Drosophila melanogaster: one gene and its partner. The protein of the gene in region 1 binds, or shares a complex with, the protein of each later gene. Each region holds a gene or a part of one and is shown on either strand. Other genes may lie near its edges. The genes, in order: cac and Rbp.

Region 1 (5,210 bases):
GAGAAAAACCGACGACAAGCCGCCCAGTACGCCGCACATCCAGTTCAAGAAGTATGCATCCGGATTTTGGTCGGTTAAAACACACACACGATCGTGACATTCATTCGTTACTTAATGTCCGCTTTTGTAGAAAACCCTTTGCCCAGGCGCCCAAGGAGATTTGCGGACGCATCGACAGGGATCTGGACTTTCACTTGTCCCAAAGAACGGAATCACTTCATGTCGCAATCGGTGAACCAAAGAGCTCCGATGGCATCACATCGCCAGTTTTTGTCGATGACGATGAAGACGATGTCCTGGAGCATCAGTTTGTGGACGAATCAGAAGCAGAAGCGATAGAAAGCGATAGCGCCGATAGCCTGCCATCGATCACCAGGGGATCGTGGCCTTGGCTAGCGGCCATCTATGTGAACAACCTGACCTCCCTGGACTTTCAGTGCGGCGGTTCGCTTGTCTCGGCACGCGTTGTAATCAGCTCGGCGCACTGCTTCAAGTTGTTCAACAAGCGCTACACATCCAACGAGGTGCTCGTCTTTCTGGGCCGCCACAATCTGAAGAACTGGAACGAGGAGGGATCTCTGGCGGCCCCCGTCGATGGCATTTACATTCATCCCGACTTTAACAGTCAGCTGAGCAGCTACGATGCGGATATCGCAGTGATTATACTCAAGGACGAAGTTCGGTGGGTGCCAATATGCCTAAAGCTTACATATTCAAGATTTAGATTCATATCTAAACCGCGATGTGAAATCGAATATGAAGATCATTTATTATATTGACAGTATACCATTATTTTCAACGCAGATTTAACACCTTTATTCGACCCGCTTGCCTGTGGTCTGGTTCCAGCAAAACGGAGTACATTGTGGGCGAGCGGGGCATCGTCATCGGCTGGAGCTTTGACAGAACGAACAGGACGCGGGATCAGAAGCTGTCGTCGGAGCTACCGGGCAAGAAGTCCACCGATGCCAGTGCACCCAAGGTAGTAAAGGCTCCCATTGTCGGCAATGCCGAATGCTTTCGAGCCAATGCCCACTTTCGCAGCCTATCCTCAAACCGAACGTTTTGCGCCGGCATCCAGGCGGAGGAACGAGATACGCATCAGAGCGGGGCGAGCATTTACACCGGTATATCGGGGGCCGGACTTTTCATCCGCCGGAACAATCGCTGGATGCTGCGTGGCACAGTATCAGCGGCCCTGCCCGCCGTAGAGACACCGGATGCGGAATCTAGCCATAAGCTTTGCTGTAAGAATCAGTACATTATATATGCCGACGTGGCCAAGTTTCTGGACTGGATCACGGCCTTTGTAATTTGAATCACATCCGAAATGTGTATGGGAACGCATTTCTAAGTGAGCGCTGTGATAATAGCCCCTTGGGCATGGCGATGGGCAAAAGTTACTCGGAGTAATTAGCGGTTATCGGTTTTTTCTTTTTTTTTTTTTGCTAGTTTCATTACGAAAACTTCTGATTATGGCATTTCAGTTTTATTTTTATCTAAGACAGTAGGGCAATTCAAATAATAAATTATGGCACGGGAAAGCCAAAAAGGAATTTTCCCATAGAATCGCTGCGCTTTTAGATCTCCACCATAATATTAACATTAAAAATCTCGAAATTTGCAATGTTTAAATTCCTCTGACCACATATAGAAAACGTGTATGTTGAAAGAATCACAGGTATGTTTGATATCGAAATTAATTGTAATACAGTAACGTTTACCATGCCTTTGTTATCAGTGTGTTGTTGGCGCTCGTGAACAAAGGAAGCTGCTAATATGCCGGAGTGGGCGGCCTGGCCCGTCTGAGCGGCGTTCACCCATGGACACCTGGACACCCTAATTACCAGCGGCAGACACTGTACTGCGCAAATGCTGACTACTATCAAGCACGTCATCGCACGTCATCAGCCGCAATCGTCGTCATCGCCATCTGGGCCGTTATCTATCTTGCTGGGTTGTTGGGGCATCGACAGCAGTCGTAGCCATCGACTATCAGTTCCGTCCGGACCGTGGCAGCTGGTGCATCACACCTGGGGCTCTGGGCCCGTCGTCTACGGACATTCGCAATCGTTGAAGATCCCCAAACAAGTGCAACGCATTGTATTGTGAACGTGCCCGATAGTTGGTAGTGAATATATTACAGAAATGGCAATATTTGGAGTACATTTCGCGTATTGCAAAGTTCGATTCATCGATTCCCAGAATGCTGGGCGGAGTGGGAGCTCGTCGCCGAAGGGGCTCATCTCCTATGGCGCGATTGACCATTAGCAACATCAACGGTCTGGATGACAATATTGCCATCATCGGCGATGGCGTCATCCGGCGGAGCACGCACTACGGCTCGCAAGGGTCTAACAAAAGGCGCCGGGCTCCGGAAAGTTTTGCTCTTGTCCAGACGCGACCGAATCTAGGCGACCTAATGTGAGTACCACTACCAATTTAAATATAAATTATTTAAACTTAACATTATTTTAAAAGATCAATTGATATTTAGAAAAGTATTGAAAATTGGTAAAAATTCATTATTATTAAAGATAGTATGCAAAGGTAATTGACGAGGGTTATTGAAATGTACAGAGATAAAATTAAGTCTGAAATAGAGTAAAATATGTTGTTTGTTTTATATATTAATTAATTAGGTCAAGTATGAGAGCGCCTTTGATCATTTGTAATTCGGTTAAAGCCGGGTTTTCAAATAACCGATATCTTGATGCAAAAGTTTTTACTACAAGGGGTTGAAAGTATTCTTAAAGCTTAAAGCTTTATCAACAATTGTGGCAGTAGTAAATCAATTACTTAAATCAATTAAAAAAAAAACTCTTAGAATGGGTAAGTAGCTTAAACTTCGTCGCTTCGCTTTTTTTTTAAACTTTAGCAGTATGATTTAAGCCCGGATTTTAAAACCGCGATTTCTCGAAAGTTCGATAGTTTTGTTCCCAAGGGGTGAAGAGCAAGCGGAGCTTAAAGCTCAATCGACGACTGTAACGGTCCTAGGAGCGGGTTTCCTTGGAGGACACGCATGCGCTCTCCTCCGCACTGGCTGGCCAGTGTGTCCACCTCCGATTGTCCGATTGAGCTTGAACTGAAGCTTGGACCAGAGCTTTCGGGCGGATGCAGAGCGCAGGGCTGGTAGATTTTTTTCCCCATATTTTTGCCCTTTGTGCGTGTGTTTGGACCCTGGCGATGTGGTAGTATGTGATACAAAGTCGCCGAGTTGAAGTCTTGCGTTTTGTTGAGTTTTTCGTCCAACTGGTGAGACAAAGTCGGTGGTGACAGCTCCCGTAGAAGCGGTTTTTGTTTTTTATTTTTAACTCGGGACCCAGTCAATTTAACAGCAAATGTGCGACAACTAAAATGTGGCTGAATACAGAAGCCTGGCGTTAAAGAAATCAAGTGAAAATCACTCGCAATGCGGGGTTAAAAGTGCTGTGAAAATTCCACATTTCGAATGTTGTGTGCGCTGGCATCCGAATTCGGGTCGAGTGGTGAAAATAACACTACAAACATCCAAACCAAGAACAAGAAATATAGTCGGAAAAGCGTGAAAATCGTGAAAAATCGTGAAAAACCCAATGGCAAAACGTCGAATTGGCGACAATGGCGGCGAGGACAGCAAAAATAGCAAGAAAAGATATCGGGAAACCAAGTGAAAAGCATTATTCGGGCTTACTGAAGCCAATAAACGACCTCTGATTGTGCTCCTCCAGGCAACCAGATCTAATTTTTATTTTTAGCCACATTCATATACATATATATATGCGTTCGTTTCAAATCCCAATTACCGAAGCTATCCTTAAAAACCAGTTGTAAAAGTTAAAGTTAACAAGCCCCACGAACGCACCACACACACACCAACACACCCGCACGAATATACATATCCATATACATATACATATACATATACATATATATGTATAGCCATATATATATACATAGTTGTTGGGATTGGGTCAGCGGGTCGGTAGCACAACGGGCGGAATGTTGCGTCGGTGGTGCTATATATTGCGGTGGATGGAAGTGGAAGTGGATGTGGCAAGAGGCAAGTGGAAAAGCAAAGGCGAAAGGAAAAGCTAAAGCCAAAGCTAAAGCTGAAGGAGAAGGAAAAGGAGATATGGAGTTTTCGGGTGTTTTTTAGCCTATCGGTATATCGTTTATTTTTGTGACGTGTACACGCACTTTCGAGGTGAATGAATTGCGGCGATGTAGCAGGAAGCACCCCCCAAATTAATATTTAAATTAACTATATTCTCAGTCCACACAAATATTTACTAGTCGTAAATTCCCCAACCCACACACACACATACAAATCTACACATGTATATGTTTTCCATACCGGAAACGAATTCTAATGATGGTTCTCCTCTCTTCACGGAAGTGAAAAATTTGTTTGTCTCTGTTCTTTTAACAATGCTCATATGAATACTCGTATGGGGAATTGAATGCGAGCATATGAACAAATATTGTGGTAGTCGTGTGCTCTGTAACTAAACTTATAACGACATATCAAATTTCAGTTAGTTGGTTCTTTAAGCCCAATTAAAAGTGTAACAGTTTCCAGAAAAAAAGAAATAACAAAAAGCGTTAGTTTAGAGGGGGCAACGATGGCAAGTGTGTCATTGTTGCTGTTTATTTTTGGCAATTACAGGTTCGTTGGTCTCACTGTGGCCCGATTGTAGTTAGACACACAGATATATATAGCTTCTGCCCATTCCAAAAACCCAAAATCGTTCCGAAAGACATCGTCAACATAAAAAAAAAAAAAATTTCAGACAACTGTGCCTGGTGACGTCACTAGGGAAAATAGAGCTGGAACTATACAATTGCAATAAATAACAAGAATTGCTTTTAAAGAAAAGACATTGCTTTGCGCAATTGAAAATGAACTATTCAAAATAGGGCAATAGTTAATTTAAATGCAAATGCAACCAGATTTACTGGGCCCTTAAAAGTAGGCAAGCGATTTGTGGTTGCGATGTTATCGTTATCGGTGTGACCCAGTGATTGTTGAAACCAAAGAGAAAGAGTGAGAGAGAGAGGGGGAGAGAGCTTCTGCCGGTACGTGTGTATATGTGTGTGTGTGTGGATGGAATGGAGAGAGTTGAAATTTGCAAATGCCAATTCTTGTTATCAGCCCCGTAAATCAAAACATTTGATTGATCTGCAAATAACTGTAAAGATAAAACCTTGTTCGTAGTTTCACTGCCTTA
Region 2 (5,041 bases), on another chromosome or scaffold:
AATTAAATGGAAAATTCCCATTCACTCGGAACTGAGGCACGTTATCTAACAGGGAGAAAGCAGGGAATTGGGAAGGTAACCTCTGCCAGCACAGTATCTTTATTTCCGCACAACGTGCCGTATGCGTAATATCATTTACAACTGCAAGGCGACTGTCTAGTGAAATATACAAAAAGTCGTAATTAAAACAATATTCGTTGACTATTCGTGGTTGGAAAAAAACGCCACAAAGAAATGAAACGAAATATTCCTGCCAACTTTGTTGGCCCCAAACTTCGACAAACTAATTTAAAAACTTTGTTGCGTTTTTGGTTTTTGGCGCGCAGCAACTTTGATTTACTTTGAAATGAAGTGCCCAGAAAACCAAGAAAAAAAAGCGGGAGAACAAAAGTTGCAACTGCAAAATGGCAATTTCCACCTTGTGTGTTGACAGACAAGTTTGCAAAGAAAGGCAATTAATTAGCATCCGGAATCGGTTGCCTTGGCAAACTCACGAAAAATGCAAAAAGTTGGCCATACCAAGCTAATATTTACATATTCTCCAGCAAAGGTCGGTGAAAGTTTTAAAGCACCATTGTCTGCTCTTCGATGCCCTAATGAGCTGTCGTTCAATTAATTGAATGCTCACACACTTGGGCCATAACAATCAAGTGCTTCTAATTGCAGCAATTATAGCCGACGAAGGCAGGGGCCAACAGCCATTGCCAACAATTACATGCATAAATAGTCGACAATGTGCTCGAGAATATGACGAGTGGCAAGTCCTAAAAATAACACTGCGAGCAGAAACTTTTTAAAGTCGAGCAATTACAATTACAATTACATTTAAGATGTTGGGAAAAGTTCATTATCCTGCTGCTGGCATGACCTCAATCGCAGAGCCAAGGAAAAAAGCGAACCAGAACACGAGCACAAAAACTATCTTGCCTATTTATAACAAGCTGCTCACACACAGGCACACACACAGACCCACGAATTTCGTCGCTTCTGGCGCTGAAATACTATAGAAAAAAACCATAGCACAGTTATGGGGTGGAAAACCAAACCGCCAAACCGGGAAATGGGAAGTGGTTCGGAGAGAAGCAGGGGGATCCCCGCCTGTGGACATCTCATGGTCGCAGTTTGGCTGGCAGCCCAGCATATAAATTATTGAATGATTGCCATCTGTCAAAATTGGCCAAACTCAACGATTAATCCTGCTCGGAAAAATCCAATAAAATCATAATGGCTTTTCTTTTCAAGCCGTTCTTTATATTTTTCAACACGGGGGATCTTTCTGTTGGCTTAAAGGAAAATTCAATTGAATAGTTGCACATTTGAGTTCTTCATGTATTAAATACATATGCAACATGTTAATTTAAATTTGGCCAATTATGTTTTAATTCATCTACAGAAAAAACTACATATTTATAGAAGGAAGCTATGAAGACTTTCTTTTCATAATAAGCCCGTCTAGGTTGTGATAATGTTGTATTAAGTATCCGCAACGTGTACCAGGCCATCGACGCGTGACTTTCGATCATTGCAGTGGAAACTGAGTACAGTGGGCTATAAATATATACGAAATACGTGAAAGCATTCAATCGGTGGAAAGTGCTGTTACGGGTATTAAAACACCGCTCCAGAGAAGGTAACGGTAACCGCATGCACGCTGTAGATACCTTTAGTGTACATATATATGTATGCATATGTACATGCATACGTACATACACACGAACGTGTGTGGTGGGTGTACACTGTATGTAGTATGTGTGTTACGCACGCAGCAGCAAACAACTTTAACATTGTTGTTGCGCAGGCTGTGGGACAAGTGTGAAGTGAAAACCGCCCCCAGAGTGCGAACCCAAAAAGTGGGACTTTTCTGCTGCTGCTGCTGCTGGTGCTGCTGGAAGCTTATGAATATGAAACGCTCACACACACATGCTGCTCCTGCCGTTGTGGCACTTGCAGTGGTATTGGTGCTGCTCCAGTTTCGTTGGCCATTTACATCTACTTTACTTACATGCCTCTCGCTCTTTTCGCTTTCTCTGTATGTGTGTGGCGGGTGTATGCGTGAGTGTGTGTGGGTGCGCGCTTTTTTGTGCCAAAATGTAGCTGAACTCTGCTTTTAGCCAATTTCTCCGATTTTATTTAGGCATTTTTCTATAATTTCGGTTTCATTCACCATTTCGCCTGCCTCGGTTTTACAGTGATTACCCGCATTTGCATATTGTATATGCATCAGCATGTGGGCGAGTATGTATATGTATATGTTTGGATATATGTATGCATGTGAGTGTGTGTGGGAGAGTGTAGTTTTACGCTGGCTGCTCTTTTTCGTATTTTTTTTTTTTTTTTGCCTTTATCGATATGCTTACACTTTTACTTTTCACTGTCCCACCATTTTCCCGGAATCATTATATCTTTCACTGGATTTTTTAACTGCACTCGCGGCGAGCTTTTTCACGTTATTGGCGAGAAAATGAAATTTTCACGCAGCAGCGGTGCTGTTGGGCAAACATTTGGTGTACAGCGAAATTTTTCGTGAGCTCGCTCGCTCGCATAACAGCTCTTTTTTTCAGCTTGCGCAAAATAAGTATTTACCACGCGATTTTGACACTTTTTGCTTAAACTGCGGTTTTCGTTTTCGGAAGCACAGGATTTTATCCTTTCTTTTTGGGTTAACTTTTTGTAATATTTTGTATTCGGGGGCTTTTGAACGGGTTGCGAACCTTTTTTGCTGCTTGTGCTTCTGCTTCTTGCTTGCTGCTGCTGCTGCTTTTTCAGGTCGCCTGTTTTCCTCTTCCACGTTTGCGCTGGGAAATTCACATAAATGCATATAGTTTACACTAGGCTACGTAGGCTGTACATAATATATCCGAAAAACGCGATCGTTTCACTGCTACTATATAGAAAAAAACTCCGCCTAGTTGTCCACTTTCTGTGGGTAGTAGCAGTTGGGTCTCAGTGCGAATACCGAAAAGTGGGTCATCTCGGTCGCGCTGCTGGCGCACTCTGATTTCTACCCAACTGCCAGCTCGGTGCTCAGTGTGCCAGAGCAGAGTGGCCCAGAGAACCCAGAGCCGAGCACTCAGTACCCAGTGCCCACTATTCAGTGTGCGGGGAATCGATTTTTCTGCCAAATGACACTGAAAAACGGGCAATTCTCTCCCGCTCTCAGAAGGACTCCTTTGGGGTTGCAACTGGGTAAATTTCTGCTCAGGGCCTGTTATTGGGGGTTTACTATTACTTTTGGCTGTTATCCGTTAACAGCGCTGTCCTCTGTTAACGACATGTGCGTGTAAATCTGAGATTTTGATTTCAGTTTACCAATCTCTGATTTTCGAAATCAATTCTCGGGTAATATAAAACAATTATTTCCACATCATACCACACCTAATACTATAAATTATAAAGTAATTTTACGTAAATTGGTTAAATATGAAACACTCTTTTCAATTTTGGAATATAAATACATTTATTTGTCGTTTTCTTTTCGCTATGTCTACATTATGAGTTTGTTGCCGTTCTTTTACTTTTGCTTAGTGTTCGATTTTCATATAACATTTTATTAATTAAAATAATTTTTTCTCCATCCTGTTGATAGTGCTGTCGGCCACTAATGTCTTTCGCTTTCGCAGTTTTCAAATAGAACATATCATTAAGTAAAAGATTATTATGTATAGTGTTTAAATTTCAAACTCTAACAATTAAAAACAGTTAAAAATTTAAGTGTTCCGTTAATGTTTTTGTTTGTCATCTCCCCGTAGTACATACATTTCCTGTTTCTCGTTTTTTTTCCACTAATTTTAAATTTATTCGTAGGCGCTTCTCCTAAACAAAAACAAACTAGCCGATGTTGTTTGTTAACAGAAAAAGAATGAATTATTTACAATAAATTGTAAACGAAAAATAAACTCTCGCACACATCGTCCGTCTCCATAAATAGTTGCTCACTAGTTAATTACAATGCTTAGGCTTCGCAAAATTTTGTGTCCGAGTATGTGTAATACATATGTATATACGATATAAATTAGGCCTATTTATTTAGTTACAACAGATTTTCATTTACGTTCAAACATTTAACTTGGACTGCGTCGGGCGATTTTGTATTTAAGTGTGTTGAGTTTATTTGATTTGTTTCGGTCTTGGTATGTTAAATGGTTATTTAAACATAAAATTAAAATGCCACTAATTAATTAATTTGCCATAATTAAAGGATTTAATTCTCTACTCGCATTTACTCTTAACTGTCAGCATTATTTGATTCGTTTGCCGTATTAGAAAAAGTGCACTTATGAATACTGCATTCGGTCTGAAAATAGATAAAATAAAAGAGAATCGGTTAGAAAATCCTTGCTGAAGCAATTTGAATTAGTAATGCAATTTGGCCCCAATTTCATGAAAAGGTCAGCGGTAATAGCCATTAGTACGTAATCGAAGCAATTTACAATTTAAAATGGGCGGGGGTCCGGCTTAATATCCGCCCCTCAGAATCTCCGGCGCAAAATGATAAACCAAACAATACCCGGAATGCCAATGGAATGACATCATCTCAACGGTTGGCCCGAAACGATAAGAAACCAGATATGAGCCGATTTAAAGAAACCGGCTGTCATGGCGTCGCAGCGTATCGTTTGATAACACATATAGTAAATAATCACTGCAGGTGATTCTTAATACTTACTGTCCTTCTTTGAAGTACTCCTTCAGCGTTGTGCTGAACTTCTTGGAATATTTGACGAACTCCTTCTTACGCTGCTCCACAGCCTGCTTGCCCGTTACGCCAGGTATAAACGAGCCGATCTCGTTGACCACATCGAGTAGTTTCTTTATGGCGCTGGCGATTTCCCTGTAAAACGCAGTAAAATTTCATTATTCATTAATCAGTTAAGCTTATGCAGTGAGTTTTAGCTTCATTTTGAGTTTTTACTTACTTGATGGTCTCCAGGAAGGTCTTCCTGTCGTTTATCTCATCGGGTATGCGGCTGAGGATCACCTTGAGAGCCACGGACTTACGATTGAGCTCCTGGAAGGGCTCCTCCGTGCGCGTCAAGCGGTA

The links.
Region 2: the proteins of cac (region 1) and Rbp are in contact, whole or in part, in a crystal structure (PDB 4Z8A), measured with the Drosophila melanogaster proteins. Residues at the interface, in NP_001245639.1 of Drosophila melanogaster: Ile1688, Gly1689, Arg1690, Arg1691, Leu1692, Pro1693, Pro1694, Thr1695, Pro1696, Lys1698, Pro1699, Ser1700, Thr1701, Leu1702; in NP_732029.4 of Drosophila melanogaster: Ile1353, Leu1355, Tyr1356, Tyr1358, Leu1363, Pro1365, Asn1366, Val1367, Asp1368, Val1372, Glu1373, Thr1378, Gly1379, Asp1391, Gly1392, Phe1393, Leu1404, Pro1406, Ser1407, Asn1408, Phe1409.

Annotation. Positions count from the first base shown.
Region 1 is NC_004354.4:11,981,891-11,987,100, reverse strand, and holds the start of cac (cacophony), read left to right. Parts: upstream 1-2,013; 5' UTR 2,014-2,206; coding exon 2,207-2,424; intron 2,425-3,185; exon of another isoform or gene 3,186-3,265; intron 3,266-5,210. Other genes in the region: gd (gastrulation-defective), read left to right, coding at 1-51, 131-682, 805-1,318. UniProt on the Drosophila melanogaster protein: Voltage-sensitive calcium channels (VSCC) mediate the entry of calcium ions into excitable cells and are also involved in a variety of calcium-dependent processes, including muscle contraction, neurotransmitter release, gene expression, cell motility, cell division and cell death.
Region 2 is NT_033777.3:15,372,639-15,377,679, reverse strand, and holds the start of Rbp (RIM-binding protein), read right to left. Parts: upstream 3,046-5,041; 5' UTR 2,819-3,045; coding exon 2,712-2,818; exon of another isoform or gene 2,003-2,711; intron 1-2,002. Other genes in the region: Ccm3 (cerebral cavernous malformation 3), read right to left, coding at 4,210-4,294, 4,667-4,831, 4,917-5,041.